4 linked regions of the Anolis sagrei genome follow. The main gene of each other region encodes a partner of the protein of the gene in region 3 in a complex. Links are inferred from orthologs where the notes say so. Each region holds a gene or a part of one and is shown on either strand. Other genes may lie near its edges. The genes, in order: E2F4, TFDP2, RBL1 and PPP2R2A.

Evidence for each region.
Region 1: RBL1 (region 3) and E2F4 share a complex: the UniProt entries of both Homo sapiens proteins name them as parts of the DREAM complex. The link is inferred for Anolis sagrei from reciprocal best matches to the Homo sapiens genes RBL1 and E2F4.
Region 2: RBL1 (region 3) and TFDP2 share a complex: the UniProt entries of both Homo sapiens proteins name them as parts of the DREAM complex. The link is inferred for Anolis sagrei from reciprocal best matches to the Homo sapiens genes RBL1 and TFDP2.
Region 4: the proteins of RBL1 (region 3) and PPP2R2A are in contact, whole or in part, in a cryo-EM structure (PDB 9C6B), measured with the Homo sapiens proteins. The link is inferred for Anolis sagrei from reciprocal best matches to the Homo sapiens genes RBL1 and PPP2R2A. Residues at the interface, in NP_002886.2 of Homo sapiens: Ser615, Pro616, Leu617, Met618, His619, Pro620, Arg621, Val622, Val625, Arg626, Ser629, Leu632; in NP_002708.1 of Homo sapiens: Lys88, Tyr178, His179, Asp197, Leu198, Met222, Glu223, Glu224, Leu225, Thr226, Glu227, Val228, Ser247, Arg278, Ser279, Phe280, Phe281, Ser282, Glu283, Ile284, Ser287, Tyr337, Phe343.

What each region holds. Positions count from the first base shown.
Region 1 is NC_090028.1:21,144,990-21,152,904, forward strand, and holds the start of E2F4 (transcription factor E2F4), read right to left. Parts: upstream 3,771-7,915; 5' UTR 3,688-3,770; coding exon 3,556-3,687; intron 1-3,555. Other genes in the region: SDR42E1 (short-chain dehydrogenase/reductase family 42E member 1), read right to left, coding at 5,162-6,263, 7,067-7,206. UniProt on the Homo sapiens protein: Transcription activator that binds DNA cooperatively with DP proteins through the E2 recognition site, 5'-TTTC[CG]CGC-3' found in the promoter region of a number of genes whose products are involved in cell cycle regulation or in DNA replication.
Region 2 is NC_090023.1:236,981,505-236,989,381, reverse strand, and holds the start of TFDP2 (transcription factor Dp-2), read left to right. Parts: upstream 1-4,658; 5' UTR 4,659-4,730; coding exon 4,731-4,733; intron 4,734-7,877. UniProt on the Homo sapiens protein: Can stimulate E2F-dependent transcription.
Region 3 is NC_090024.1:207,663,026-207,670,989, forward strand, and holds the start of RBL1 (retinoblastoma-like protein 1), read left to right. Parts: upstream 1-4,149; 5' UTR 4,150-4,221; coding exon 4,222-4,374; intron 4,375-7,964. UniProt on the Homo sapiens protein: Key regulator of entry into cell division. Directly involved in heterochromatin formation by maintaining overall chromatin structure and, in particular, that of constitutive heterochromatin by stabilizing histone methylation.
Region 4 is NC_090027.1:6,823,319-6,831,943, reverse strand, and holds the start of PPP2R2A (serine/threonine-protein phosphatase 2A 55 kDa regulatory subunit B alpha isoform), read right to left. Parts: upstream 3,797-8,625; 5' UTR 3,782-3,796; coding exon 3,655-3,781; intron 3,076-3,654; coding exon 2,998-3,075; intron 1-2,997. UniProt on the Homo sapiens protein: Substrate-recognition subunit of protein phosphatase 2A (PP2A) that plays a key role in cell cycle by controlling mitosis entry and exit. Involved in chromosome clustering during late mitosis by mediating dephosphorylation of MKI67.

The sequences.
Region 1 (7,915 bases), on a different chromosome or scaffold from region 3:
TGATGTTTTACCCACAGCTATGGCAGGCATCCTCCTAGGTTGGGAGGTATATTGGAAACTAAGCAAGGGAGGTTTATATATCTGTGGGACGTCCAAGATGGGAGAAATACTCTCGATTGTTGGAGGAAAGTGTGAATGATGCAATTAATCACCTTGATTAGTATTGAAAAGCCTTGCAGCTTCAAGGCCTAGCTGATTTCTGCCTGGGGGAATCTTTTGTTGGGTGGTGTTAGTGGGCAAAACATCAGGAGAGAATGCTTCTGGAAGATGGCCATACAGCCCAGAAAATTCACAGCAACCATGTAGAAAATGGCTGCTGCATTGCACCAAAACCACCCTCAACTGAGAAAAGGGTTGCAGCAGAGCGAAGCAAAGGCCAACTAATATTAAACATTAAGAATACCTGCTCTTTTCCATTCAGGAGCTCATGACCACAGCTGCAGTTCTGTATTTTGCTTGGAAATCTGTGGCACCTGCAGATAGGGTACCTTCCACACAGCTGAATAAAATCCCACATTATCTGCTTAGAACTGGAATATATAGCAGTGTGGACTCAAATACTGTATCCCAGTTCAAAGCGGATATTCTGGGCTATAGGGCTGTGTGGAAGGGCCCTGGGTTATCTGAGCTCACACTGCCAGATATCCCAGGGTCCTTCCACACAGCCCTATATCCCTGAATATCAAGGCAGAAAATCCCACAATATCTGCTTTGAACTGGTGCATCTGAGTCCACACTCCGATAATGTGAGATTTTCTGCCTTGATATTCTGGGATATAGGGCTGTGTGAAAGGGCACACAGTTAAAAGCAGATACTCTGGGTTACGGGGCTGTGTGGAAGGGCCCTGGTTTATCTGAGCCCACACTGCCATATATCCCAATCCAAAGCAGTTATTGTGGGATTTTATTCAGCTGTGTGGAAGGGGCCTAAGCTTATCTAGACCAGTGGTTCTCAACCTGTGGGCCCCCAAGTGTTTTGGCCTACAACTCCCAGAAATCCTAGCCAGTTTACCGGCTGTTAGGATTTCTAGGAGTTGAAGGTCAAAACATCTGGGGACCCACAGGTTGAGAACCACTGTTTTAGGGATTTTTGTATTCTTGGGGACCCACAGGTTCTCAACCTGTGGGTCCCCAAGTGTTTTGGCCTACAACTCCCAGAAATCGCAGCCAATTTACCGGCTGTTAGGATTTCTGGGAGTTACAAGGCCAAAACATCTAGGGACCCACAGGTTGAGAACCATGCCTTGGTCACCTCTAGATTGGACTACGTGGGGCTGCCCTTGAAAATGGCTCGGAAATTTCAGCTGGTCCAACGGGCGGCGACCAGGTTGTTAACTGGTGCTCCTTACAGAGAGAGGTCAACCCTCCTTTTTAAGGAGCTCCATTGGCTGCCATACATTTTCCGGTCCCAATTCAAGGTGCAGGTGCTAACCTACAAAGCCCTAAACGGTTTGGGACCTGCCTACCTGCGTGACCGCATCTCCGTATATGAACCCAAACGTTCCAGCATCATGTCCCAAACGCACTTTATTAGAGATTTAAGACTGTCTGCACATTGCACCTACCCTAGAATCCTTACATTTCACCTGTCATATCCAGCACTTTTTAACTGTACCCATTACATTTGGCCTGGCCCTAGTTTTTAAATGTGTCACGGTGTATTGTTTTATTGTTTTTATTGTTACTGCTTTTATGTTTTTGGTTGCTTTATGAGTTTTATTATGTATTTGTTATGCTGTTGTTTTACTGAGGCCTTGGCCTGTGTAAGCCGCATCGAGTCCTTCGGGAGATGTTTGTGGGGTACAAATAAAGTTAATAATGATAATAATAATAATAATAACTTAAAAAAATAAATAAGGAGAGAAATATCCCAGTTCAAAGCAGATATTGTGGGATTTTCTGCCTTGATATTCTGGGTTATGGGGCTGCGTGGAAGGGCCCTGAGTGCCAGGGATGCTTGAGAGCAGTACGTGTGAAAGAGATCTTGGAGTCCTCGTGGACAACAAGTTAAACATGAGCCAACAATGTGATGTGGCGGCAAAAAAAGCCAATGGGATTTTGGTCTGCATGAATAGGAGCATAGTGTCAAGATCTAGGGAAGTCATGCTACCCCTCTATTCCGCTTTGGTTAGACCACACTTGGAATATTGTGTCCAATTCTGGGCACCGCAATTCAAGAGAGATATTGACAAGCTGGAATGTGTCCAGAGGAGGGCGACTCAAATGATCAAGGGTCTGGAGAACAAGCCCTATGAGGAGCGGCTTAAGGAGCTGGGCATGTTTAGCCAGAAGAACAGAAGGCTGAGAGGAGATATGATAAAGGTAAAGGTAGTCCCCTGACATTAAGTCCAGTCATGTCTGACTCTGAGGTGTGGTGCTCATCTCCATTTCTAAGTTGAAGAGCCAGCGTTGTCTGTAGACACCTCCAAGGTCATGTGGCCGGCATGACTGCATGGAGCGCTGTTACCGGAGATATGATAGCCATGTATAAATATGTGAGAGGAAGCCACAGGGAGGAGGAGGAGGGAGCAAGCTTGTTTCCTGCTTCTTCCGAATCTTCCTCCAACCATTGATTGTTTTCTCTTGCCTGGCAGAAAGGGGTTGGACATGGATGGCTCATGGGGTCTCTTCCAACTCTATTATTCTATGATTCTATAGGTGGAACCTGAATAATTCCGAGCGTTATGCCCTTCAGTACGTGGAGCAAGCATACATCACAGAATCGGTGAGTGTGTCTGGTATATTGTCTAGTGTTGTCTTGCTACCTTGCGCCTCTAGAGAGGCAAGGGTGGGCTGGGGGAGGGGAAACTGGAACTTCTGTCACAGGGAGGAGGGAGCAAGCTTGTTTTCTGCTTCCCTGGAGATTAAAGACGTGGCTGTTCGAGAAGGCGTTCGAACAAGAAGTGTAATAATTGGCAATGACAACAGGAATGGAACAATGGAAAACGATATTGGTATTTTTGTATTGTTGATATTGAGATTGTGGATGTTGTTGATGACGATGTTTTGATATTGCTAGTTTGTTATTAGATTTTCTCTTGTAATTTGCACCTTATTCTCTCCATGTTGTACACCACTGTGAGTTGCCCCAGGGCTGAGAACAGCGGTCTATAAGCACAGTAAATAAATAAATAAATAAATAGGATGCGGAATAATGGCTTCAAGCTACAAGAGAGGAGATTCCATCTGAACATGAGGAAGAACTTCCTGACTGTGAGAGGCGTTCAGCAGTGGAACTCTCTGCCCCGGAGTGTGGTGGAGGCTTCGAACCTTTTAAACAGAGGCTGGATAACCATCTGTCAGGGGTGATTTGAATGCAATATCCCTGCTTCTTGGCAGAATGGGGTTGGACTGGATGGCCCACGAGGTCTCTTCCAACTCTTTGATTCTATGATTCTATGTCAGGCCCTTTGTGTGGACAAGGAAAGGTCTCCTCCTCCTCCTCTGAAGGGGAGGCAAGAGAGAGGGGGAACCCGCAAGGAGGGAAAAGAAAGCGGGCCAGAGCATCCGCTGCTGGGCCCTGATCTGCCTGATCAGCGCCGTCCTTCCCCTCACCAGCTTGAGGTCGAGCACGCCGTCCTTGGCCTCCTGCAGCAGAGACACGAACTTGGTGGTGAGGAGGCCCAGGCTCTTCTCGTGCCGGCTCGGGCCTCCCCCCGGCGGCTGGGCCCCCGACTCCGACGCCATCCGCCCGGCCCCGCGCCGCTTCCGGGATCCCGCTGCGGCCCCTCGCGCTGACCCTTCCGCCGCTTCCGGCCACCGCAGGGCATGATGGGAGGCGGCCAGAAAGGGAGGCGAGGGATAGGTGGAGCTCGAGGCCCCGCCCCCTCCACGAGGCCTCACCCCGCCCCCTCTCCACTAGGCCCCGCCCCTTCGCCTCGAGAGGAACATCAGCCCCGCAGCGACCCCTGCTGGGCGCCCGCGCTTTTCGCAGGCAGTCCCCTCTGAGCCGCGAGGGATTTTCAGGGACTGCGCATGCGTGAAAGTATTCCACAGTGTATTGTCGAAGGCTTTCATGGCCATTGAAATCCACAAGCATGTGGACAATTTCAACAGAAAGGAGGAAACCATGAAAATGAAGAAAATCTGGCTACTCTAAAATTACAACAGCAAAACAACAGAGGAAAAACAATCAGGCACATCTAATCACCTCTCAACAAAAGATTGCCCCAGGCACTGCCAGGCCATTAAATGCTAATAAAAGTGGTCTGATTGTTTTTCCTCTGTTGTTTTGCTGTTGTAATTTTAGAGCTTTTTGGATCATTACAGATAGGCCTGGTTGCTTTCCTGCAGATTTTAGGGATGTCTGTCGCACAAATGTAATGGGGAGCTTCTGGATTAATGCAAAATAAGCAATAAATCACACCTTATGTTTGTATGTATGTGTGTATATATATGCGCACGCATGCACCCTCATACATTTTGTGATTACAACTGATGCATATTTCCATAGTAGTAACTATGGAAAAACAATAAAAATACTTTTAAAAAAACAACAACTGATGCATATGAGGGTATCACAGGGGGTTAGCTTAACGTCTGGTTCGTTAGTAAAACTAAATTGCTGTATCACATCATGATACACGTCGAAGCAAGGTGAAATGTTTGGAAAGGTCTGACCTAGAGATCCCTATAGATCTCTAGATCCTCCACCATGACATTATGGACAATGCGCAGTGGAAATTGAACACAGAGTTGCCTTGGAAGGAGGACCAAGCAATTTTTGGGGAAAATATTTTGATGAATTAATCCAATCCACCACCAACCTGTAAACGTGGAGGCTCAACCGTATTTCTGATTTTGGAATTCTGGGTGATAATAATAACAGTAACAAGAACAATATATATATTTTTATTTATATCCCATCATATTTCCCTGAGGGAACTCAGGGTAGTTTACAACAGATATCGGCAAACATTCAATGTCATAATAGGATGAGCGCCGCTCAGCCTGTATTTGTATTTTGGCACCATTGCAAAGACCCAACAGGATTGGGCAATGCTGTTATTATTATTATTATTATTATTATTATTATTATTATTATTATTATTATTATTATATTTATTTACACCCTGCTTTCTCTCCCCTGAAGGGGACTCAAAGTAGCTTGACATCAAAGAATCAGCATCAATGCTAGTATCTCCTCGTTCTGTTGGAGGCTTTAAGCCCTTGGGAGCCACGAAAGGACGACCGCCACAGCCAAGGCGAGCAGCACCGCCGTGCACCAGAGCCAGTGCTTTGATGCTGCATTACTGCCCACCCTCCGCCCGTGGCCATGGGACCGGAACCACTGAACTGCATCCTCAAGGCTGTACTGCCGAGGCTCATAGCCCAGCTCCCTCTTGGCCTTCTCTGGGCTGAAGTAGTGGGTCACACCGGTCTTGTAGACCTCAGTGCGCGTGAGCAGCGGCTGGAAGTTGTATAGGTGCCGCACTGCCAAGTGAAGCATTTCTGTCAGGAATGCAAAGAAGTAGATCAGCGAGAGGGGGAGGCGGAGCGTGGGGAACGGGTAGCCCAGGCCTTCCACTAGTGGCTGGAAAAACTCAAAGTTGTTGACCGGCCGGCCATCGGAAATGAAGTAAGCCTGTCCAGCTGCCCGGTGCGCCTTGCTGGGCCCCAGAGCCTCTGCTGCCAAAATGTGTGCCTGCACCAGGTTGTCCACGTGCACAAAGTCCACCTGGCTCTTGGGGTCTCCATACACAAACCGGAACCATCCCCGCTCCACATAACGGACAATTCTGGGCAGGTGCCTCTGCTCTCCGGGGCCATAGATGCCAGCTGGCCGCAAGGCGCATGTATGCAGGACCCCCCGGCCAGCCCCCCGCAGAGGTGTCCCGTTGGCACCCAGCACCTCCATCTCGGCCTGAGCTTTGGTCCTGGAGTAGTGGTCGGGGTGCAGATGCAAGGGGAGGTAGGGCAAGGACTCGTCCCCACTGTGCACCACCTGACCCCCAAAGACCACGTTGTAGGTGCTGGTATACACCAGCCGCGGGACCCCTGCCTCTCGGGCTGCACGGAGGACGTTGCGTGTCCCACCCACGTTTACGGCTTCAATGCGCTTCCGGCTGAGCTGTTCCCGCCCGGACATCCCGAAGGACGCAACATGGAAGATGCAGGTGACCCCTCGGAGTGCTTGCTCCACCTCGCAGGGGAAGCGTACATCGCCGCGCACGAAACGCACACCTTCAGGCAGCTCTGGGGGGGACTCCGATGCGTCGAACAGGACCACGTCCACGCCCTTCAAGGAGAGGGAGCAGCCCAGCCTGCAACACAAAGAGGGAGGGAAACCACCTTCAGGACCAAGGCTCTCCCTTCATCAAAGCAGGGAGATTCTCCTGCAAATGCAGAACCCATTTTATTTATTTATATCCTGCTTTTCTCCCCCATTGGAGAGTCAAAGTGGCTGACAGCAAGGTATAAAACGTAACAGGTGTGTCTATTTCCATTTATTCCACACTGCACACCTCATGGGCCATCCAGTCCAACCCCATTCTGCCAAGAAGCAGGAATATTGCATTCAAATCACCCGACAGATGGCCATCCAGCCTCTGTTTAAAAGTTTCCAAAGAAGGAGCCTCCACCACACTCCGGGGCAGAGAGTTCCACTGCTGAACGGCTCTCACAGTCAGGAAGTTCTTCCTCATGTTCAGATGGAATCTCCTTTCTTGTAGTTTGAAGCCTTTGTTTCACGTCCTAGTCTCCAGGGCAGCAGAAAACAAGCTTGCTCCCTCCTCCCTGTGGCTTCCTCTCACATATTTATACATGGCTATCATATCTCCTCTCATCCTTCTCTTCTTCAGGCTAAACATGCCCAGCTCCTTAAGCCGCTCCTCATAGGGCTTGTTCTCCAGACCCTTGATCATTTTAGTCACCCTTCTCTGGACACATTACAGCTTGTGTCCAGCCTACAGGGACCTAAGTCCAAAAGACTTGAAGGGAGGGCCCAAGTTGGCCCATGCCTAGTCTCAACTGAGCACATGACGCTGTTTCAGAATGTGAGGATGGGGCCCAGGAAAGTCGCCCGAGCTCCCTCAGGAAGAGACTGCCTGGCGCTAGGCACACTGACCGGAAGCCAAAGTACCCGGCTCCACCGGTGATGAGGACCGTCTCCCGGGCGGGGGCGCGGGCCTCTTTCTCCTCCTTGTCCTCCTCCTCCGCCATGTCCAGCCTTTTGGCCCCGTCTGGGGACTTGTTGGCTCCTCCCATCAGCCCCTGCAAAGGGAGGTGAAAAGGGAAAGAGGAAATGACACGGAATTGAAAATGGAAGAGAATACAATCTATATAAATAAAAATGTAATGTTCGTTTGTGGGATTCACAGAACCTCAAAACCACTGGACGAATTGACACCAAATTTGGACACAAGACACCTAACAACCCAATGCATGTCCTTCACTCAAAAACATTGATTTTGTCATTTGGGAATTGTTGTTGCTGGGATTTATAGTTTACCTACAATCAAAGAGCATTCTGAACTCCACCAATGATGGAATTCAACCAAACTTAGCACACAGGGCTCCCATGACCAACAGAACACACTGGAAGGGTTTGGTGGGCATTGACCTTGAGTTTGGGAGTTGTAGTTCATCTACATCCAGAGACCACTGTGGACTCAAACAATGATGGATCTGGACCAAACTCTACACAGATACTCAATATGCAAACAATGATGGATCTGGACCAAACTTGGCACGAATATTCCATATGCCCAAATATGAACACAGATGGAGTTTAAGGGAAATAGACCTTGACATTTGGGAGTTGTAGTTGTTGGGATTTATAGTTCACCTACAATCAAAGAGCATTCTGAACTCCACCAATGATGGAATTGAACCAAACTTGGCACACAGAACTCCCCATGACCAACAGAACACACTGGAGGGGTTTGGTGGGCATTGGCCTTGAGTTTTGGAGTTG
Region 2 (7,877 bases), on a different chromosome or scaffold from region 3:
AGAGGCCTATAAGTTTGCTCAAGAAAAGAATATTGGAGACTGATCAGTCATTCTCCAAGATGGTAGGGTCTTTTTTTTTCGAGTAAAGGTCTTACCAGACCTCTTTAAAGCAGGCTGTGGCGCTGCCTCGCCATAGTGAGGAAATTAGCTATGCCTCTTACCCAGTCATCTAACCCCCTCTGGCTACTTTTATGAACCAGGAAGGACATGGTCCAGTAGTGGCATCACTAAGGTTGGTGTCACCCAGTAGGTCACTTGTGGTGTCACTCCTTGGACCTCAGTCATATGCTGGGGGAAAAAAAATCTTTACAAGACACTTAAAAAACAGAATTACTCGTTTGACAACATAATCTTAAATGGGCTTACTAAGATGTTTGCACAATCAAGGGGATCCAAGCCCTATCGGATAAGTACTTTTTGTCCCTGTTATTGTTGAAGAGCTGCTACATCCATCTCTAAATGAAAAATTGTCTGAAACCAGTCTGAAATAATATATCCGTATGTGTGTGTGTGTACGTTGGCCACCAATAGATTCTTAGTGTCACATGTTATATTTAATTTTTTTTAGGTCTCTGAAGTACACTGGAACTGCTCTCTTCCATAGAAGAGAGGTCACAGCAGCACAGTTACATAGGGATGGAAGGACCAACTGAATTCCTCCACAAATCAGAGGGCAGCTCTAATCACATGAGATTAGGCAGTCCCGTTGGCCCCCCAATATGTGACAGGGGGAGATGCCAATTACATATAAGCAGGTTAACACCCTGTCCCTCCTTTGCTTGACCAATCCTTCTGCCCTCACTGCATAATGGGCCGGATAGGAAACCCCTTCCCCTTTAGCAAGGGTTTTTTCACCTACCTGCACTGCATCTTGATGGAATGGGAAAATGGGCTTTGGGTGGTGTCCTAAATAAGTCTATCCCTCTCAATGCAGATAATGATTTGTGGGGGGAAATTTAGTTGGTACCTTGGCACCTCTCTCCTTTTTGGTTGTAGGATTACCCCTGGAATGACCTCACTAGGTTCTGAGACTTGTGGGAAGGCTGGGAAAGAGATCACTCTTAGGGTTGGCTGGGACAACAACAACTTACTCTCCATTATAAAAACACATGCTTTAAGGAAAGGGATCCTGGGCTGGCCTTCCAGAATATGAACCGATAAGGGCATCCTATTGGACTGTCCCTCGAGATGAGGAAGTTGTCACAGAAGTGATACCTGTCCCTCGGCCGAGACTCACATCAAGTTGCTCTCCACCTTATAGAATAATCTCCAGAACAAATAAACTGAAAAGTTTAGGTTCATGAAATCGCCTTATTTCAGTCCAACTTTTGTGCTTGGGCCCTGTTATTTAGCTGTTGGTATTCAGTTACCACTTCCGCTCACCCAAATAAATGCACCAATTTTGATATAATTGAAAGTTGGGGATCATTTTTTCTTGTGCATCAGTCAAGCCAGGTCTTTTCCACTGTTCCATATTTTATCTCAAAATCCCAAGAACTAATATGTTTATGGATAGAAAACTTTTGGGGAAATTGTACTTTATTTGGAATTTTTGTCACAGTACATTCAGTTTTAAAAGTGCTTGTTCCTTTGAAAGTGAGAAGGACTGTATCAGAAATAGTAAAGGAAGCTCCTGTTGCACTTGCAGGGTTTTTAAAAAAATCATATTAGCATCACTACTTTGCATGATGACCAAAGTAGTACAGTATCCAAAGATATTAATGTTCTCCCACTTTTCATTCCTCCACCCCCACAGTGCTTGAAAATATTTTGAGAAACAAAGAATGTAAACCCACTCACATTTGGTATTGAGGGCATTTTTCAAAAGCATTGATTTTGTGTCTAGATGTGTATGTATGTGCAACTTCATGCATTACCACAGGGTTTTCTTAGGGAAGGAATAACCTGAGGTGGTTTTCCAATTCCTTCCTCTGAAATAGAGCATATGCACACTGTATTTATTGGCAGTTTCTCACCCAAGTACTAATCAGTGGTGACCCTAGTTAGCTTCTAAGATCAGACAGATCCGGTGTCTTTAGATACCAACTCTTAAAAATGGCATAGCTCTGCATTTGATTTGTTATGTCTCTCACCAGCTCAAGTTTCCTTTGAATGGCTACAAAGGCTGATGTGTTGCTGATGCAGTAAGAGGCATTCTTCTTTAGACAAGAGGAAAGACCAGTTTGGGTTTTCTTTGCAATGTAAGTATTTTACAAAACAGAATTGAGACCTTTTACTTCCAACAGCTTAGAACAGAATATAATAAGAGTGTAATGTTTGCAAAATATATTGTTCCTGTAATGTTGTTTATGAAAAAACTGTAGTATACTTGGGACAGGAGCAGGGATGAAGTTACTCTAATTAGTCACATGAATAGGAGTTCCAAATTGAACTACATCTACTGTTTTCCTTTCCAGATAGCTTAGGGTGTTAGTTTTGAATGAAAGGTACTGACTGTGGCTCCATGAAGGGAAAATAAAACAAAATAGTTAAAGCCAGAATTTTAGAGCTGACAAAGCATTTTGTCACATAAAATCACTAATTCAGAGGGAAACAAGAAAAAAGCATTACTAGCAATCAGTATGTGCAGAAGAAACAGTTTACTGGATGGTGTTGAGCATCTTAATTCTGGGGTTTTTTCCTTGGCTATTTGTGATTTGAAAATGTTGGTTCTGTCCTAGGAGCTTGGTTACTGTTGGCTCATAAACACAGCAGAGCATTCCATTACCTTATGGGTTATTATGATTCAGTGTGGGTGGCACCATTTGATGCTTGAATCATTTCGGCTGCAACTGCCATTAAGCTGGCTTACTTTTATGGGCAAGAAAATAACCTTTCCTTTTACTGTTCAGAAATGTACATTTGGTCTAATGTGCACTTACAGGAAGCAAGCCAAGTGTGCTTAGATCCATAAAGTATTTACTTGATTCATGAATTAAATGCATTTCTGATACAAAGTTTATGTAAGTTGTTGCAAATATAAGTTCTTAAATTAAAGGGTATTTCTCATATATTCTTTTTTTAAATTTAAAGATGCCATAGCTAATTGCAACATTTTATTCAGTTTGATAAGCTACCATAGGATGTCAAATGGTCAAAAAAATCAAGCCTTATCAGTTAAACAAGTCTCTGGGGGGAGAAAGGCGGGATTAAAATGAAGTAAATAATAACAATTAATAAAATACATTATTTTTATTTTAAAGTAGTAAATATCCTGAACAGCAGAGTTCTTGTACTAAATAAGTTAACTAAATTGTTTCCAAGTAACACTTCACTTTTTAATTTTTAATTGGACCCAGTATCAAAGCTTTCACTGGAGCATTCATTTGGACACATGGACAGATGCTTCCCGTAACCACAAAGATGGAATGAAACTTGTTCTAAAGCAGTGACTTTTGCTACTGATGTTCAGTTGTATTTTTATCTTAGATGAGCTGGAGATTGTCAAGCAAAATGTATTGTACTGCTAGTTTTTGCCCTGACAACACTTAGTGGGGATGGTTGATTTATTTTGTGTGTGTGTGTGTGTGAAAGGGAAGGAGTTCAGGCACCACTCCTACCTATGCTAATGAAGTACGTGATGCAGCAATACAAAAGGTGTCCCTCAGGAAATTTGAACAGGCAGTTCCCACTAAAAGAAATTTAACCAGATTTCACAAAGTTATATAATGTATAATAAATAAGCCTCCTGTTGTTGCTTTATGACAGCCACTTACTCCGAAAAAGGCTGCTGATCAGAGTTAAAATAAAAATGCTAACTGAAAATGCTGTATCACATCACTGTGTCTATAAGCATTGAGCATATCAATTTTTAAAAGCAGAAAAGCTGACACAAGAATTGAATGTGTGTTCCTCAATTCCAGGGAGTGGACTAGATGGCCCTTGTGGTCTTGTAACATATGTGGCTAAAAAACAGTGCCTAAGATTCTCATGGGGGGGTGGGGGGGAGAGACCTACTGATGTTTGCATATGGTAAATCAAAAATCACTATAAATCAACCATCACCACCAAAAAGTTGGAACACTTTAGTTCTAAAGAACTCACAGTGTAATTTGGGGAGGGGGTTGGAGGATTAAAAGTTTAATTCTGAGGGACACACAGTCTTTCCAACAAGGCGATCTTTCTAATAGAAATACATAGTGATCCAGTTGTGCTTGACCAAAAAAAACCCCATTTAAATCTACTGGCTTGATACCTTGACACTGTGTGGCTTTAATGTTAGAGGAATACCATTCTTACATTCAATACCATGCTCTGAATTCCAAACCTAGGCCCTGCGAATTGGGTAACTGCGACTAGATTCTATTTATCACTCGCATTTCAACAGACATTACTGAGAAAGTAGAAGCCAAAATCTACATGCAATGTTTCAAATCACTGAATTAAATCTACTTCAGACAGTTTCTACCTGATAACTTGGGTTTTTTTCAATGCCAAATCACTTTTCCTGAGTCCTAGAAAGAAGGAAAACTGAGATGTAGTAAGGAAAATTGAGATATAAATTAAATAAATAATTTGTTTCTTATTTGCTGTGATGGTCTCCTGAATAATATAGCTACTGGTATATCTAGAAGACAAAATATTTGTATAGTGGTTATGTGGTTATGAGTATAAGGAAATAAGGTTCACGTTTTGCTTTTTTTTAGAAAATACATTCCTGCCAGTGTCTACCATCGACTAAGATTTTGTCCAAAACATTATCATCAGTAAATTTAAATGTCAGACCCCAAATGGTAAGTACTGTTGCCCTTTAACAGCTTTTAATTAGTAGAACTATACAGAATAGCAGTTCTGTATTCACAGCTACAAATGTTCAGACACCTTTTCATAGGTTTCTTCATTATGGAAAGATATTGATGGACTTGTGTATTTTCTGGGGATAAATAATTGCCATATATTAATGTGTTGTGCTGCATGCCAGTACATAAGGGCTTCTGAAGCAAACATCAGAATTGGTACTTTATGAAATACACATTTCTCAATATGCTCTATAAAAAATTTATTTCAAATCACCAGTACAAGTACTGTTCCAAATACATGCAATTTTGTAATAGAACTGCTTTGTGCAGCTGTACTAATTGGTTAAACTAAGAAACAGTTGCACAATGTTTCCTGTTTTCCTCCTGCAATAGCTTCTTTGCTTAGCATCAACACATTCCCACTGTATACTTGATTTTTGTTAAAAATCACATTTCTGATAAATGCAGGTAATTGGTTTGTATCCAACAGTAGTAGAAGAACAAAATAATAATACACAGATATTTTACCATGCCTATTTTATCCAGTTAACACTTATTCTATATGTTACACAAGAGAGCCATAAAAAGATGTATGTGCACACTGATTTTTGATCTAGTAGCAGAAAAAAAACTTTATTTTTGTAATGGAAACAACTGTCCTCTACCATTTTTAGCATGCGCACGCGCACACACACCCTTGCATTTTGCATCCATAGATTTAGCCAACCATGGCTCAAAAATATTGAGAAAAAATCCCCAAAACAAACTTTATTTTTTGCCACCAGGCATTAACAGTGATGTGTAGCCATACCTTGCTGTAGCCTCCTGCCATTTCACATATCTTCAGGCTGGTACATGTTTGAGTTCTTCATCATTTTATATAAGGATACATAGTGTATATACTGTTATATACCAAAGTCTGTGGATGCTCAAGTCCCATTATATACAATGGAATACAGAGTACTTCAAAATAACGGCCCCAATTTCAAAACAGCGCAGTTCACAATGGCAACATGTTACAATTACGCAAACAGTTACCAACAGTTTAAAGAGTAATCAAGTTATCAAGATTTACTGACCATTTTATAAAAACACTATGCGCCCTCCACCTGCTTTATGGACAATATTGGGACAATAGTGGAACACAAAATGCCTTATGACTGAGGCTATGCTCTGTTTGTATACTGGGAGAGTAATCTTGCAGTAATAATTTGAAAAACTATACCTTTCAAGTGGTAAGAGTTTCATTCATGAGCAGCTTGCGTTTATAGTGATAGTGATTTCAAATTGGGTCCGTCAAGTCCATCCTGTATAATGGGACTTGAGCATCCACAGGTTTTGGTATAAACGGGGCTGGGATGGGATGGGGGGCTTCTGGAGCCAAATCTCATTGATTGCCCCTTGTAGCAGTCTTTGGGTACATGATGTAACCACCTAAATGAATTCCAATGTAGAAATATTTTATAACATAAATTAAATAAATATAATTATATCCAAAGTTATTGTTTACGATGCAGGGTCTTGTATGTAGTCCAACAGTATGAAGTCTTGATTGAGAGAATGGTCAGGTCTGAATTGCCCCCTTTCTGTGGTTACTCTGATTTTATACAAGTACACTGTGCTTTAAAATATGCTGTGTTCTCTCCTCCCTTCCCTTCCCCAGCACCACCTATGCTTCCTAGACGTATTTCTAGGGTGGCTGAGTGCATCTTTTTCATCCTTGCAATGCCTAGTTGGGGTTAAAATTGGATCTGCAGTAAAAAATATTCTCGGATCACCCCAACAACTGTCCCTTCTCTCAGTCCAACCACCATCCCAGGCACGATTGGAGAGGATGCCAGAGAGGGCCTTTTCAGTGGCTGCCCCTGGAACCTTCTCCTTAGTGAAGCCAGAATAGCACCCTCCCTGTTGTCCTTTCAGCAGCAGGCTAACATCTTTTCATTCCTGCAAACTTTTAAAGAAGAAAGCTTTTAAGTACGAGCCGGGAGATGCTGTGTGGTCATTTAAGTATTTTAATAGTTTTTAATAATTTTGTGTGCATTTAACTATTTATTTATTTATTTATTAAATTTATTTCTATCCTGCTTTATCTCCCCCCAAGGGTACTCAAAGCAGCTTAACATAAAAGCATCTGCAAAACCATTTAAAATATACAGATATGCGAACATTAAAACAGGATTAAATATAAACAGTATTTTTAAATTCCCAGTTAAAAACTATTAAAATAAATTCAAAGTTAAAAACCACAGCACCCCTGAATTGATCTTAAAAACCTTCATATTTAAAAGCCTTCCTGAATAAAAAGGTTTTAGTCTACTGCCAGAAGGACAGCAGGGTTCTCTGGGGAGGGGTTTCCAGAGTCAAGGGGTAGCCACGGAAAAGGTCCACTCTCTTGTACCCACCAATCATGCTTGAGATGGAGGTGGGACCAAGAGAAGGGCCTCTCCTGAAGATTTCAGGGCTCAGGCAGGTTCATACAAGGAGATGCGATCAGCCCAATAGCCTGGATCTGAACTGTCTAGAGCTTTAAAGGTCATAACCAGCACTTTGAATTGTTCCCGGAAACAGACTGGTAGCCAGTGAAGCTGCTGCAATGGGTGGGGGGGGGGGTTGTCTGCTCCCTGTAGCCAGCCTCAGTTAGCAGCCTGGCTGCAGCTCTATGGACCAGCTGAAGTTTCCGAGCACTCTTCAGAGGCACTGCCACGTAGAGCATGTTACAGTAATCCAGGCAGGATGTAACTAAGGCATGTACCACTGTGGCCAGATCTGGCTTTTCAAAGAATGAGTACAGTTGGTGCACAAGTTTTAATTGTGCAAACACCCTCGTAGCCACCACTGATACCAAAGTCTTCAGGTTGAATGCTGAATCCAGGAGGACCCCCAAACTGCAAACGTGTGTCTTTAGGGAAATGGTAACCCATCCAGCACAGGCTGAATCCCTATTTCTTGGTCTGCCTTTCGACTGACCAGGAGTACTTCTATCTTGTCTGAAGTAAGTTTCAATTTGTTTGCCCTCATCCAGTCCATTACTGATAGCAGGCATTGGTTTAGGGTCAGGACAGCTTCCTTGGCATTAGGTGAAAGGAGTAGTAGAGTTGGGTGGCATCTGCATATAGGCCACACCGTACTCCAAAACTC
Region 3 (7,964 bases):
CTCCATTATTGCTTATAAGTTTGTCAGTAATAAGCACCCTGTAGGCTCGTCCAGATAGGTAATTCAGGTTAACATGAGAGGCACATATCAACTTAAATCCTTGGTGATATAAGGTTTCCTCAATCACATTTTACACACCACACAATTATAACGCTTTGATACCGCTTTGCAGCAAGTTCATGCTATGGAATTCTGGAATGGGTTTCGTTATTTTGAATTGCATGTGACTGTATACTTCTTACACAGGAGTGTAAGCAACTGAGTAATTACCAGCTACTTTCTGTACTAATATTTATTGTGTCAGCGAATAGAGAATACAGTTATAATGTATAAAAAAACACAAAGTTTTTTGTTGTTCATTCGTTCAGTCGTCTCCGACTCTTCGTGACCTCATAGACCAGCCCACGCCAGAGCTCCCTGTCGGCCGTCACCACCCCCAGCTCCTTCAAGGTCAGTCCAGTCACTTCAAGGATGCCATCCATCCATCTTGTCCTTGGTCGGCCCCTCTTCCTTTTGCCTTCCACTTTCCCCAGCATAATTGTCTTCTCTAGGCTTTGCTGTCTCCTCATGATGTGGCCAAAGTACTTCAACTTTGTCTCTAGTATCCTTCCCTCCAATGAGCAGTCGGGCTTTATTTCCTGGAGGATGGACTGGTTGGATCTTCTCGCAGTCCAAGGCACTCTCAGCACTTTCCTCCAGCACCACAGCTCAAAAGCATCGATCTTCCTTCGCTCAGCCTTCCCTAAGGTCCAACTCTCACATCCGTAGGTTACTACAGAGAATACCATGGCTTTGACTAGGCGGATCTTTGTTGCCAGTCTGATGTCTCTACTCTTTACTATTTTATCAAGATTGGACATTGCTCTCCTCCCAAGAAGTAAGCGTCTTCTGATTTCCTGGCCACAGTCTGCATCTGCAGTAATATTTGCGCCTAGAAATACAAAGTCTGTCATGGCCTCCACGTTTTCTCCCTCTATTTCCCAATTGTCAATCATTCTTGTTGCCATAATCTTGGTTTTTTTTTATGTTTAGCTGCAACCCAAACAACAAAGTTTAAAACTTGGCATTATACTAAATTTCCTTTGACAGGAAGCTAGCCACTTGGAGTGCCACTAGTGTTGCAGTAAGCAGGTCCTCCAATGTGCATGTGGCAGGGATCAAACTGCATGGTAGTAAGAGGTCTGTAGTTTGCTCTTCACACTTGCAGGTTGTGGACTCTGCTTTGTAGCCCTATTTCTTAAGGTTGGCTCTGCATCTTGTGGTCCCAGAGTGCATTCAGTGCCTTCCAAGCCAACCAGTTTTTTGTGTGCTTCGGAGGAGGTTTCTAAACCAGTATCAGCCATTGATTGACTTCCGGGTTTAACCTGCCACTTTTGGACTCTTGCTTGTTGAGGCATTTCTGCGACTATCTCTGTAGATCTTAGAAAGCTATTTCTTGATTTAAGATGTTGGCATGCTGGCTGATAATCTGTACAGAGGATGGGCCGGAGATGTCAATGCCTTGGTCCTTTCATTACCAGCTGCTACTTTCTGAAGGATATCATGTGATGCAGTACCGGCTAAACAGTTATTTACTTACTTAGGCGATCCCTTGTTGTCCGAGTAGGATAATCCTCCCGGGTGGGTCCATAGGTGACTATGGAGCCCTGTTCTTGATCTGCATCATCTCCCGCAGTGAGGGCATTGGTTTCCAGGTGGAAGGTGGTCCCGGTCGGGGTTGGCTTGACGCGCCTTCCTCTTGGCATGTTTCTCTCTTTCGCCCTCCATTCATGCCTCTTCAAATTCTGCAGCAGTGCTGGTCACAGCTAACACAGCTGACCACAGTTGAGCACGGCTAAACAGTAGACAAGAGAGATTTATATATCTGTGGAAAGTCCAGGGTGAAGAAAAGAACTGATCTATTGGATGCAGGTGTGAATTTTGCAATTAAGCACCTTGATTAGCATTGTAAAACCTTGCATCTTCAAGGCCTAGCTGATTGCTTGGGAGAATTTTATTTATGTATTTATTTACAGTGTTTATATTCCACCCTTCTCACCTTGCAGGGGATTCAGGGCGGATTACAATGTACATACACATGGCAAATATTCAATGCCATAGACACACAACATATATACAGACAGAGGCTATTTAACATTCCAGGTTTTCATGAGGGTATTCTAGCCACCAGGGGAGCTGTCCCTTCACAGACCATTTTGTGACACTGATGAAGTACTTCCTCATTCTTTGCATGCTTGCTGGAGATTTTTATGGCCTCGTAAATTAGTTAAATTTGCCTCCCCACATAAGCAGTACTTAAATTTCCTACTTGACAGATGCAACTGTCTTTCGGGCTGCAAAGGTCAACAGCAAGCCACACAAAATTGGTCGGAAGCTCACTCCGACCCAAGCTGGCTTTGAACTCATGACTTTTTGGTCAGTAATGATCTTAATGCAGCTGATTCCCAGCTAGCTGCGCCACAGTCCTGGTGCACCCTTTGTTGGGAGGTGTTAGCTGGCTCTGATTGTTTCGTGTCTGGAATTCCCCTGTTTTCAGAGTGTTTTTCTTTATTTACTATCCTGGTTTTAGTTTGACTTAACACCTCCCAACAAAGGATGCCCCCAGGCAGAAATCGGCCAGGTCATGAAGATGCAAGGCTTTTTAATGCCAATCAAGGTTTGTTTGTTTTGTCGTGTCAGGAGCTACTTGAGAAACTGCAAGTCGCTTCTGGTGTAAGAGAATTGGCCATCTGCAAGGACGTTGCCCAGGGGACGCCCAGATGATTTGATGTTTTTATCATCCTTGTGGGAGGCTTCTCTCATGTCCCTGCATGAGGAGTTGGAGTTGATAGAGGGAGCTCATCCGCGCTCTCCCCGGATTTAAACCTGCGACCTGTCGGTCTTTAGTCCTGCCAGCATGGGTTTAACCGGGATTGTGGCGCAGCTGGCTGAGTGACAGCTGCATTAAGATCACTCTGACCAAAAGGTCATAAGTTCGAAGCCAGCCCAGGTCGGAGTGGGTTTCCAACCAATTGTGTGTAGCCTGTTGTCAACCTTTGCAATCCGAAAGACAGTTGCATCTGTCAAGTAGGAAAATTAGGTACCACCTTAAAGTGTGGGGAGGCTAAATTAACTGATTTATGAGGCCATAAAGAAGACTCCAGCAAAGTATTCCAGCGGGGAAGCATGCGGGGAACGCGGAAGTGCTTCATCAGCGTCGCAGATGGACGATGAAAGCGACAGCTCCCCTGGCAGCCAGAAAAAGTTAAATAGCCTCTGTATATGTTTGTATGTCAAACATTGGCATTGGATGTTTGCCATATATGTGTACACTGCCATATATGCCATATATGTGTGAGTCCCCTGTGGGGTGAGAAGGGCGGAATATAAAAGCTGTAAATAAATAAATAAATAAATTGACACACTGCGCCACCGGGGGCTCCAAGCCAGGCTTGATGATGCAAGGCTTTTTAATGCCAATCAAGGTGATTGATTGCAACATTCACACCTGCCTCCAACAGATGAAGAGTTTTTTCGCCCAACCTGGACCTTCCAGATATATATACCTTCCCTTGCTTCGTTGCCAATATACCTCACAACCTTTGAGGATGCCTGTCATAGATGGAGGCGAAACGTCAGGAGAGAGTGCTTCTGGAATATGGCCAACCAGTCCGGAAATCTCACCGCAGCCCATTGTACTAATGTACTTTATCTACATTAGTCTGTTGTCCCTCCAAAAAAACACGAGGATAGCCCACATTTTATTAAGTTTCCAACCCTTCAACACCATCCCTAGAGACTAGGCTTGGGCAATCCATGGTTCTAAATGGTTCTAAAGTACTTACAAAACTAAAGTTCTGGTGATGAAAATTTCAAAACTCTAACAAAACTCTCAAAATTTCATTATAAATGGCAGTTCCTAATTGGTTCTGTCATAAAAATCGCCAATAATGAAATAAGAATTACATTTTGAAAGTTTTGTTAGAGTTCTGAAATTTTCACCACCAGAACTTTAGTTTTGTAAGTACTTTAGAACCATTTAGAACCATGGGTTGCCCAAGCCTACTAGAGACTATTTTGGAGCATGCTGCATAGAACTCAGCTCAGAGCGGAAGAGGAGGAGCTCAGGGTAGGCCCCGCCCCCGGTGATGACGCGCAGTCCCTTTTCCCGCGTTTGGCGCAAAGGCCTGTGGGGCATGGCTTGGGCTGAGTGGAGGAGCCGTGAGGGGATGCTCGGCCGCCATGCCGCGGGGAGGAGGAGGCCCGGGCCCCGCTGTGCCATGCCCCGCCCGTGCCGCCCTCGCCCACCTCTGCCAGGAACTCAACCTGGACGCCGGCAGCGCCGCCGAGGCCCTTCGGGACTTCTCCGCGCTGAGGGGCACCTACAGCCTCGAGGTTCGCTCGGCCTGCCTCTGTCAAGGCCTCACCGGGCCTAGCGCCTCATCACTGTCTCTGTCTCAAGCTTCGGCCCGCCCTCCAGGTGTTTTGGACTTCAACTCCCACCATTTCTAACAGCCTCAGGCCCTTTCCTTTCCCCCCTCAGCCGCTTAAGCGGCTGAGGGGGGAAAGGAAGGGGCCTGAGGCTGTTAGGAATGGTGGGAGTTGAAGTCCAAAACACCTGGAGGGCCGAATTTGACTCTCTTTGAATATTATCAAATTATGTCTTTATTTGGTACTAGCCGTCCCCTGCCACGTGTTGCTGTGACCCAGTCAGCTGATCTAGAAAATAAAGTAATTAGAAAGAGTTGGTTTCTAATACACTATAGTCTTCCCCTGCCACGCATTGTTGTGGCCCACATGGGGTTTCTGTGTGGAAGGTTTGGCCCAATTCTGTCATGGGTGGGGTTCAGAATGCTCTGTGATTGTAGGTGAACTATTAAATCCCAGCAACTACAACTCCCAAATGTCAAGATATATTTTCCCCAAATTCCATCTGTGTTCATATTTGGACATATCGAATATCCGTGCCAAGTTTGGTCCAGATTCATCATTGAGTCCACAGTGATCTCTGGATGTAGGTGAACTACAACTCCAAAGCCAAAGGACTTTGCCCACTAAACCCATCCAGTATTTTATGTTGGTCATGGGAGTTCTGTGTACCAAGTTTGATTCAATTCCATCATTGGTGGGGTTCAGAATGCTCTTTGATTGTAGGTGAACTATAAATCCCAGCAGCTACAACTCCCAAATTACAAAATCAATTTTTTTGAGTGAAGGACATACATTGGGTTGTTAGGTGTCTTGTGTCCAAATTTGGGGTCAATTCATCCAGTGGTTTTTGAGTTCTGTTAATCCCACAAACGAACATTACATTTTTATTTATATAGATTTAATTTCTTTATGCTTATGGGTCAACAGTATTTCTTGCCGTTTCTTTGTCCGTGTTGATGTGGAGAGTGTCTGGCTTGCCCACTCTGGAACATGCAACATATAATTGTCCTAATTTAGGAGTCCCTTTCAAATCTATGATACTATATCTGTGTGTGCGTGTGAATCATAGATATCTATATCTATGGCTGGATGGGTCTTTGTCAGGATGGCTTTGATTACGTTTTCTTGCCCTGGTGAAGGGAGTTGGACTGGATGGCCTTAAGTATGGGGGTTCTGTGTGGAAAGTTTGCCCCAATTCTGTCGTTGGCGGGGTTCAGCAAGCTCTAAATCCCAGTAAGCACAACTCCCAAATGTCAACATATATTTTCCCCAAATTCTATCTGTGTTCATATTTGGGTATATGGAATATTCGTGCCAAGTTTGGTCCAGATCCATCATTGTTTGAGTCCACAGTGCTCTCTGAATGTAGGTGAACTACAACTCCCAAACTCAAGGTCAATGCCCACCAAACCCTTCTAGTGTTTTCTGTTGGTCGTGGGAGTTTTGTGTGCCACATTTGGTTCAGTTCCATCATTGGTGGAGTTCAGAATGCTCTTTGATTGTAAATCCCAGCAACTACAACTCCCAAATGACAAAATCAGGGTTTTTTTGAGTGATGGTCACTCCTTGGGTTAGTTGGTGTCTTGTGGCCAAATTTGGCGGCAATTAGTCCAGTGGTTTTTGAGTTCTGTTAATCCCACAAACAAACATTACATTTTTATTTATTTAGATTTGAGATTTCAACGTCGTTCTCTGTAAACCGATAATGTGCTTTAGATCATATTTACATCCACTTTGTTGATTTGGATATTTTTTTAAAAATTCAGGCAGGTTTTTCAAGAAGGAGGTTTCTACGTTCATGTCAGGGAATGCTGTGGTTTTATATGTTTATGGATTTAAGGTGGCTGTGATTGTGCAGCAGGTCAAATTAAAATTATGTTGTATATCATAATTTAAACTATTTTAAACAACATCACTCATCATACTTCCAATGCATTTACACTACTCAGACTCTTTTATTATGTTAAATGTGTATGATGAGATGTATTTATGATAAAATGGTTATTATTTAAGTTTATCAGTTTATTGATTATTATTTTTGTTGATCTGTTTTGCTTGTTTGATATGGCATTGAATGTGTGCCATTTTTGTTCTGGAAACTGCCCTGAATCCCCCTGGGGAGATAGGACGGGTTACAAATAAAAATTATTATTATTATATGCCAACCTAGGAGTTTGAAAACATGCAAATGTGAGTAGATCAATAGGTACAGCTCCGGCAGGAAGGTAACAGTACTCCATGCAGTCATGCCGGCCACATGACCTTGGAGGTGTCAATGGACAGTACTGGCTCTTCGGCTTAGAAATGGAGATGAGCACCCCCACCCTCCGAATCGGACTCAACTGACATGTCAAGAGGAAACCTTTACTTTTATGGATTTAATCTGAATTGTTTTTAATATGAATAATGTATAATTCTGTTTTAATATTTGTATATTTTAAATTGTGTGCTGATGTTTTTATGTATGGAGTCCCCTGCAGGAGAGATAAATAGGGGTATAAATATATAATAATAATAATAATAATAATAATAATAATAATAATAATAATTTTCCCTTGGGTTTTGTTGGTGTTTACTGTGGTGTGTAACAAATCTTAAATTAGCACATCATAAGGTAACATAATAAGAAGAACCTTTATTTTTAACTCGCCCTCTCTCCCTGAAGAGACTCAGAGTGTGTTACATAAACAAAATGAAACGACAAACATTCAGTACCGTGTGCAATAATAAAATGAAGATATTTAAACGATTAAAGCAGGTTGAACGACTTAGGCTAAAAGCATATAAATCGATCCAACAAGTATCGTAACTAATAGAATTAAGCCGTTAAAATCTGTATAAAATATATAGCTCTTCGATAAAATAGCAGTCATTGTTGTTGACAACTTCGTCCACTAGAATGGAGTTGATGTATGTTATTCCTCCTCTCAATAAGCTAATGAACAGAAATAGGTTTGTAGTTGTTTCTTGGGGGAGAGGGAGAGGGGGTTGTTTTAATTTCTTTCGAAAGGGAGTTCCAGAGGGATAAGAGTGATCACAGAGAAGGCCCTCTCTCATTCCCACCAGTTGTGCTTGAGGTGGGTGGGATTGAGAGGAGGGCTCCCTCCACTGATTGCAGGGTCCAAACAGATTTGTAGACAGGGATGCGGGTTGCCAAATACTCTGGGCCTGAACATATCCTAAGAAGAAGCTTTTGATGGTAATCATTGGGAAAGCTGTCTTTAGAAGAAGGTGTTTGGATGTTTTTGAACCTGCGACCTTTCGGTCAGCAAGCTCAGCAGTTCAGCAGCTTAACCCACTGAGCCACTGGAAGCTCCAGTGTTGACTTTGCTTAAGTCCAAAATCATTGTTTTGGAAAATGTTTGTATATGAAAAGAAATATATAAGAAAAAAAGGAAGTGAGATTTTAACCTATACATTCAAATCTGCAAAAGTTAAATCCACAAACGTGAAGGGTCAACTGTATTTTTTCTAAAACATTTTGCAGATATTGTCACATGTAGAGTTTAAATGGTAGAATACGGGTTGAGTGCTGTTACTCTTGAAAACTTTTA
Region 4 (8,625 bases), on a different chromosome or scaffold from region 3:
CAGCTCACTTTGTGTTCCAAATCCCAGACCAAAATATCAATCTATACACATTGGATTTCATATGTATGATTAATGGAATGCAATTCCAACAGAATTAGCAATGTTTTCTACTTAGTAAACACAGACTTGAGTAGGATGCATGTTTTCTTTTAAGGAGTGTTGGCAGGACAAACATATTCATGACTTCCTGTTACATAAACTACATGTAACTGCTTTCAAATATGTGGAAGAGAATACTCATCTCCATGCTGGATTTTGATTCAGTGAAACACAGTTCTTAGTAACTAACAATGACCACCTTTACAAGCAAATGGGTTCCCAAACCATAACGCACAGCTATTTCTTTCAATTTACCGTATATACTCGAGTATAAGTCGAGGCACCTAATTTTATCACAAAAAACTGGGGAAACATATTGACTCGAGTATAAGCCGAGGGTGAGAAATGAAGCTGCTACTGGTAAATTTCAAAATAAAAATAGGTAACAATAAAATTACATTAACTGAGGCATCAGGAGGTAAAATGGTGTTGAATATTTACATAAAATTGTAATTTGAGATAAGACTGCCCAACTCTGATGAAATCATTATTCTAACCTTCTTCAATATAAATGTATTTATGTATCCTTCCAACAATAACAGAGTAAAATAATGAATGTAATAATAATAATAATAATAATAATAATACAAAGTAAAGTAATGGAAATGCAATAATAACAGTAAAATAGTAAATGTAATAATAAAGTAATAAATGCAATAATAATAAAATATAATAAATGTAATAATAATCATAATAATAGAGTAAAATACTGTAAATGTAATAAAATACATAAAATAAAAATACTAATAACAGAATAAAAGAATAAATAGCCTTGACTCGAGTATAAGCAGAGGGGAGCTTTTTCAGCCTAAAAAAAGGGCTGAAAACTAGGCTTATATACAGTATTAGACATATTTTGTTTTAAGGAGACAATGGATCAAATGCAAAATAACCATTTGACACAGTGCATGCAGCATGAATCACAGAGCTTCTCAAAAACAAAGCAATTCTCAAACAAAGGGTTTTTTTAGAATAAGTTCTGAAAATGACTCAAGTCCTGGCTACCTAGTATGCATAGCATCCCCTAGTAATTATATTCCAAATGCATGATAGACTTTCAAGATTTGAAGGATACTATCAAGGATCAGACAACACTGGACTTGTCTGACTGTTTCTTGCTAGAAAAACATATCATTCAATAGTGAATGTGTACAGAGCAAAAATTTGTGTCTGTATTCATTTACTAAAAGGAAAATGCACTGACATCCAGTTCAATTGCAAACAAAGATAGTCTTCATCACAGCTGGCGACTACAAGTGTGATGTATTTAGAGCACAAACAACAACTCTGTGATCATGCAGATACCGCTCGATTACGACATGCAATGTTGAGAGATGATGGAAGTTGTAGTCATGGTATAAGGAGGATTTCTCAATCTTTGAGCTAAATGCAAATATCACAGCACCTGGGAGGCCTCATGCTCCCCGTTTCACATGGAGCACAGATGACACTAAAAACTGCTGTCCTACATTGAGTTGTGCCCCTCTCCTCATCATGTATTCTCCATCTCCCATGACATTACACCAAGCATTTAACTCCATATGCTAAAAATTGTACTGCAATTTAAAGTCTCCTCAGAAAATGTATACAAAGATGGGAGAAGCATTAAATATAGGTTAACTTGAAGAAAACAACATAACAGTTCTTCTGAAAAATAAATTTTACATAACTTGTGTGATGTTTCCACTCAGCATCATGTGTGTCAAACTGGGTGGCTTATTCAGCTATATCAGAAAGTTGTACCAAGTTACTGGCTATAAGAGTGTTGGAATCATAATCTAGGACCTTTAGAGATAAGCACATTGTGAAGGACTAATCTAACTACATATCCAATTTCTTAGAATATATTTGAGGATGGATGCGTTGTCAAAGGATGGATATTATCAGGATATATAGTAATATATACTGACATTGTACTATGCTAATAATATAATATATTGTATGAAAATATACATTCTAAGCCGCTCTGAGCCCCTTCAGGGTGAGAAGGGCGGCATATAAATGCCGTAAATAAATAAATAAATATTCTGAACACTTGCTGTTCACATATGGAGATAAGGAACTAAAACTTGGGTGAAACAAGGAGATTTCAAGAAATACTTAATAAAAGGGATAGTACTAAAATAATTTCACTGCTGATAATATTGCTCACCTAAAGACACATAATTAAGTAGCCTGATATCACATGGAGCAACGAGGTAAAAACCCAGGGACTGTATATAGAAAAGCTGCTGTGTGACGCAAGGTTCAAGCTTTCACAATTTACTGTTGACACAAGGAATACAAACTTGGGGTGACACAATAATAATAATAATAATAATAATAATAATCTGGAAAAGCTGACACAATATGAGGATTTAAACATCGAACTGCAAAGACTCTGGCACAAGCCAGTCAAGGTGGTCCTAGTGGTGATCGGCACACTGGGTGCAGTGCCTAAAGACCTTGGCCTGCACTTAAACACAATCGGCGCTGACAAGATTACCATCTGCCAGCTGCAGAAGGCCACCTTACTGGGATCTGCATGCATCATTCACCGATACATCACACAGTCCTAAACACTTGGGAATTGTCCGATGTGTAATCCAATACAACAGCCAGCAAAGTGATCTTGTCTGCTGTGGACTCATCTTGTTGTGTTTCAAATAATAATAATAAACTTTATTTATACCCCGCCACCATCTCCCCAATGGGGACTCGGGGCGGCTTACATGAGGCCAAGCCCAACAGAACATTACAATAAAATAAAACCAGAATACAGAACAATCAACACAGTAAACTAAATAAAACATGAGAATACAATAAACAATAATTTCAAGTAATACCTAATAAACTACCAGTACCAGAATCCTACTGCTGTTAATAATACAAACAGGTTAAATCAGATCTTGTTCTTACCTTCTGCTACATCATCATCCACAGCCCCTTTCACCTGAGAAAAACACCACTGAATGTCATTCCCGCCGCCACCGGCTCCTAGAAACAAAACAAAAGTTAAATAAAAGCTGGGCAACACCCTGGTTATTAAGCTTGACTGCACAATGTTAGCATTCCAGTCTGATACCCAGCGATTGTTGGCAAGGATAGGAAATGTAAAGGGAGCACCCACCACGCCCACAAAGGCGAAGAGTATTTCCAAAGCAGAAAGTTACTTGCAAGCTCTTCTTATTGTCCCTCAACACAGCCCACAACATTTTTGTCACTAGGGATGTGTCCAAATGAACACAGTCGCAATCAGTTTCTCTACAAAGACAGGTCACAACTACTCAACTTCATAAGCTGTCACACTCTGAAGATACACAACACACAATGCATGACTGCTCTTCTTACAAACCAAACTTTCTCTCACACACAAACTTTGGAACTTTACTTCTAAGTTACTAGAATCAGGAGTGAAGCAGCATAAGGGAACATTTTTTTAATTTGTTGACAACTTCATTTCTGCCATTTACAGAAAGTAGAACAAGAATAAAACTTAAGATTGTTGTTATAAAAGAAATCTATAATTCTGAAACTTGAAGAAGTCACCTCAGTTACAAATAAACTTGAAACTACCGTAAAAGATGGACCGGAGAGAAAGCTTCAAGAACATTCCTGCCCCGGCAGAAGGAAGGCGGTGAATCATTTGAACCTTCCACCCAAACATGCCAAAGACACGCCACCCATTTCTTGGACATGTCATTCGGAGCAAGTCATTGGGTAAGGCTCGTGGAGGAAGCTGAAAGGCAGTTATCAAAATGGAGCTTTCCCTGAATATTTCCCCTGAAAACGAAGATGTGTGTGTGTGCGTGTGTGTGAAAACAGCTGCGTAACCGTGGCATCTTGACCAAGGGGATGGAGCAAGAGAGGGAGGAGTTCCTCCCTTCCTTAAAAAAAACAACAACAGCAACAATCAAGCAACTTAAGAAAAAGTTCAAGCCAGAAGGGGAAGAGTGGTCACTCCATCGCCACACAGCCATCAGAGCACAGGAAAAGCGCAAACAATCCACAAGTGTTCTATTTCCATCTTCCTTTGTTACTTTGTGAAAAGAAAACGTTGCTCCCTATTTGGGCACCACGCTGAACTGGAAAAAAGGTATTTTACTTTGTAATTATAGTTCAATACACTGATTCAAAACAACCTTGCCGAAGAGGTAAACAAGGCCTCCTGAAGATTACAGTGTGTTTTCTATACATTTCAAATTCTTTTCTTCTTTTTTTTTTAGGGGGGGGTTTAAGACTGCATTTATACCAGGCATGGGCAAACTACCAGCTGTTAGGAATTGTGGGAGCTGCAGTCCTAAATACCCAGAGACCCAAAGTTTGCCAAGGCTTGATCTACACCAGGGGTCTTCAAACTTTTTAAAGAGAGGGTCAGGTCACAGTCGCTCAAACTCTTGGAGGGCTGGATTATAATTTGGAAAAAAAATTCCTATGCACACTGCACATATCTTATTTGTAGTGTAAAAACACTTAAAATAATACAATAATTAAAATGAAGAACGATTTTAACAAATATAAATGTATTAGTATTTCAATGGGAAATGTGGGCTTGCTTAAACTCTTGGAGGGCCAGATTATAATTTGGAAAAAAATGAATAAATTCCTATGCACACAGCACATATCTTATTTGTAGTGCAAAAACACTAAAAATAATACAATAATGAAAATGAAGAACGATTTTAACAAATATAAACTTATTAGTATTTCAATGGGAAATGTGGGCCTGCTTTTGTTGATTAGATAGGATTGTTGTTGTGTGCTTTCAAGTTGTTTCAGACTTAGGTTGACCCTGAGCGAGGGATGGATAAATGAACTTTGAGGGCTGTATCCGGCCCCCAAGTCATAGTTTGAGGATCCCTGATCTACACTATAAATTGCATCTACACTATTGATATTAGGTTCTTGTGGGTTTTTTCGGGCTATAGGGCCATGTTCTAGAGGCATTTCTCCTGTTTCGCCTGCGTCTATGGCAAGCATCCTCAGAGGTAGTGAGGATGCTTGCCATAGATGCAGGCAAAACATCAGGAGAAATGCCTCTAGAACATGGCCCTATAGCCCGAAAAAACCCACAAGAACCTAGTGATTCCAGCCATGAAAGCCTTCGACAATACTATTGATATTGTACTATGCTAATAATACAATATATTGCATGTATATATATCTTGTAAGCCGCTCTGAGTTCCCTTCGGAGTGAGAAGGGTGGCATATAAATGTCGTAAATAAATAAAAAATAAGCACATTGCAAACTGAATGTAGTTCAACAGCACTTGGACTACCATTGCTCTTTGCAATGGGATACTGGGAGTTAAAATTTTGAAAGGTCCTAAGCTTTGGGTTGCTGTGAGTTTTCCAGGCTTTATGGCCATGTTCCAGAAGCATTCTCTCCTGACATTTCACCCACATCTATGTCACGCATCCTCAGAGGTTGTGAAGTATATTGGAAACTATATTATAATAATAAATTTTATTTATACCCCGCCAACCATCTCCCCAATGGGTACTCGGAGCGGCTTACATGGGGCCAAGCCCGGACAACATGTTACAGCAAAATAAAACTAGAACAGAAATTATATTAGAAACTAAGGGGAAGAGGGGGAAAATGACAAAATACTAATTATAAAGAAATAAAGTATGTATAAGTAGATAAAAGGTGTGTGGTAGAGGTATACATAGTATAAGGTGTATGGAAAGTTTTAAAAAGATAAGAAATATGTTTAAAGATGTTTTTGATTCTTTTTTACTGTTAGATTGTATATAATATGACATACTCTTCTGTCTACGATGTTGTAAAAAGTGGGAAGAATGTATGCTTATGCATTTTGTTTGATAAATTTATAAATAAAAATTTTAAAAACTTCACAAAAAAAAAAAGAAACACAACCTCTGACGATGCCTGCCATAGATGTGGGCGAAACGTCAGGAGAGAATGTTTCTGGAACATGGCCTTACAGCCCGAAAAACTCACAGCAACCTAGTGATTCAAGCCATGAAAGCCTTCGACAATGCGTCCTGAGCTTTCTCTGCCAGAGTACTACACAAAATTATTACAACTCCCAGGATTTCGTAGCAATAGGCTGTGGCAGTCACAATGGTGTCAAACTGTGTTAATTTGACAGTTTAGATGCACTCATGGAAAACGGTTAGGGTGGTTTTGGACTAAGGACACTGGGAAAGCCGAGTCTGAATCTCCATTCAGTTGTGGAAAACAATTTTAGGTAAGCCACACTCTCTCAGCCTCAGAAGAAGCCACTCTGAATAAATGCAGGCAAATCCCATTGACGGATTTGCCTGCAGGAGAAAAATAACTCATGCAGAAAACGCGGGGTTTCTTTGGCAGTACTCACAACCTCCCTCCATTCAAAGCTTTCTTGGTGGAAAGATTGGAGACAAACACAAACCTCAACACAAACCTCAACACAAACCTCAACACAAACCTCAACACAATCTGGCCCATGTTGCCAGATTCTGAATCTTTGTGTTTGTGAACAGATTGCAAGGTAGAGAGGAAACTGAAGAAGGGTTTGCAGAAGGGTGGATCTTTTGCATTTTCAAACCATGCAAGCTCAACAAGCTGCAATTTCCTCACAGGTCTCAATCTCTCTGTGAGAAATCCTCCAGATGTTGTGTTGCATGGAAATGATGAACCCGGGTCAGCCATTCATACATGCTGCCCAATCTAAAACTCATTTTTTGCACCCAAAGCTATTACATGTCTTGTAAATCAACAAGCTGCAATTTCCACACAGGTTTTATTCTGTCTGTAAGAAACCACCAGCATGGAAACGATGGACCCAGGTCAGCCATTCACACATACATCCCAATCCAAAACCCGCACTTTGCAGCCAAAACTGTCAAGTGTCTTGCAAATCAACAAGCTGCAATTTCCACACAGCTTTCAATCTCTCTGTAAGAAACCCCCAGATTGCATGGGAATTATGGACCCAGGTCAGCCATTCACACATGCAGCCCAATCTAAAACTCGCTTTTTGCAGCCAAAGTTGTGAGTGTCTTGCAAATCAACGAGCTGCAATTCCCACATAGGTTTCAATCTCTCTGTAAGACATGCCCAGGTTGCATGGAAATGATGGACCCAGGTCAGACATTCACACATGCAGCCCAATCTAAAACTCGCTTTTTGCAGCCAAAGTTGTGAGTGTCTTGCAAATCAACGAGCTGCAATTCCCACATAGGTTTCAATCTCTCTGTAAGACATGCCCAGGTTGCATGGAAATGATGGACCCAGGTCAGCCATTCACACATCTAAAACTCGCTTTTTGCAGCCAAAGCTCTTAGTGTCTTGCAAATCAACAAGCTGCAATTTCCACAAAGCTTTCAATCTCTCTGTAAGAAACACTCCAGGATATGCCATGTTGCATGGAAATGTTGAACCCAAGTTAGGCATTCACACATGCAGCTCAATCAAAAACTCGCTTTTTGCAGCGAAATCTGTTAGTGCCTTGCAAATCAACAAGCTGCAATTTCCACACAGGTTTTAATCTGTAAGAAACCCTCCAGGATTTGAAATGATGGAAATGATGAACCCAGGTCAGCCATTCACACATGCAACCCAAGGTAAAACTCGCTTTTTGCAGCCAAACCTATTAGTGTCTTGCAAATCAACAAGCTGTAATTTCCAAACAGCTTTCAATCTCTTTGTAAGAAATACTCCAGGATATGCCATGTTGCATGGAAATGCTGAACCCAGGTTAGGCATTCACACATACAGGTTAATCTAAAACTCGCTTTTTGCAGCAAAAGCTGATGGTGTCTGGCAAATCAACAAGCTGCAATTTCCACACAACTTTCAATCTCTCTGTAAGAAACAGGTTGCATGGAAATGATGAACCCAGGTCAGCCATTCACACATGCAGCCCAATCTAAAACTTGCTTTTTGCAGCCAAAGCTATTAAGTGTCTTGCAAATCAACAAACTGAAATTTCCACACAGCATTCAATCTCTCTGTAAACAAAAACCCAGGTTGCATGGAAATGATGAACCCAGGTCAGGCATTCACACATGCAACCTAATCTAAAAGTCTTTGTAGCCAAAACTGTTAAGTATCTCGCAAATCAACAAGCTGCAATTTCCACACAGCTTTCAATCCCTCTGCAAGAAACTCCCCAGGTTGCATGGAAATGATGGACCTGGATCAGCCACTCACACATGCTGTTAAGTATCGTGCAAATCAACAAGCTGCAATTTCCACACAGATTTCAATCTCTCTGTAAGAAACTCCCCATGTTGCATGGAAATGATGGACCTGGATCAGCCACTCACACATGCTGTTAAGTATCTTGCAAATCAACAAGATACAATCTAAGTCTTTGTAGCCAAAACTGTTAAGTATCTCGCAAATCAACAAGCTGCAATTTCCACACAGGTTTCAATCTCTCTGTAAAATAACCCAGGTTGCATGGAAATGATGGACCCAGGTCAGCCCAATCTAAAACTCGCAGGCTGCATGGAAATGATGGACCCAGATCAGCCATTCACACACGCAGCTCAATCTAAAACTGGCTTTTTGCAGCCAAAGCTATTAAGTGC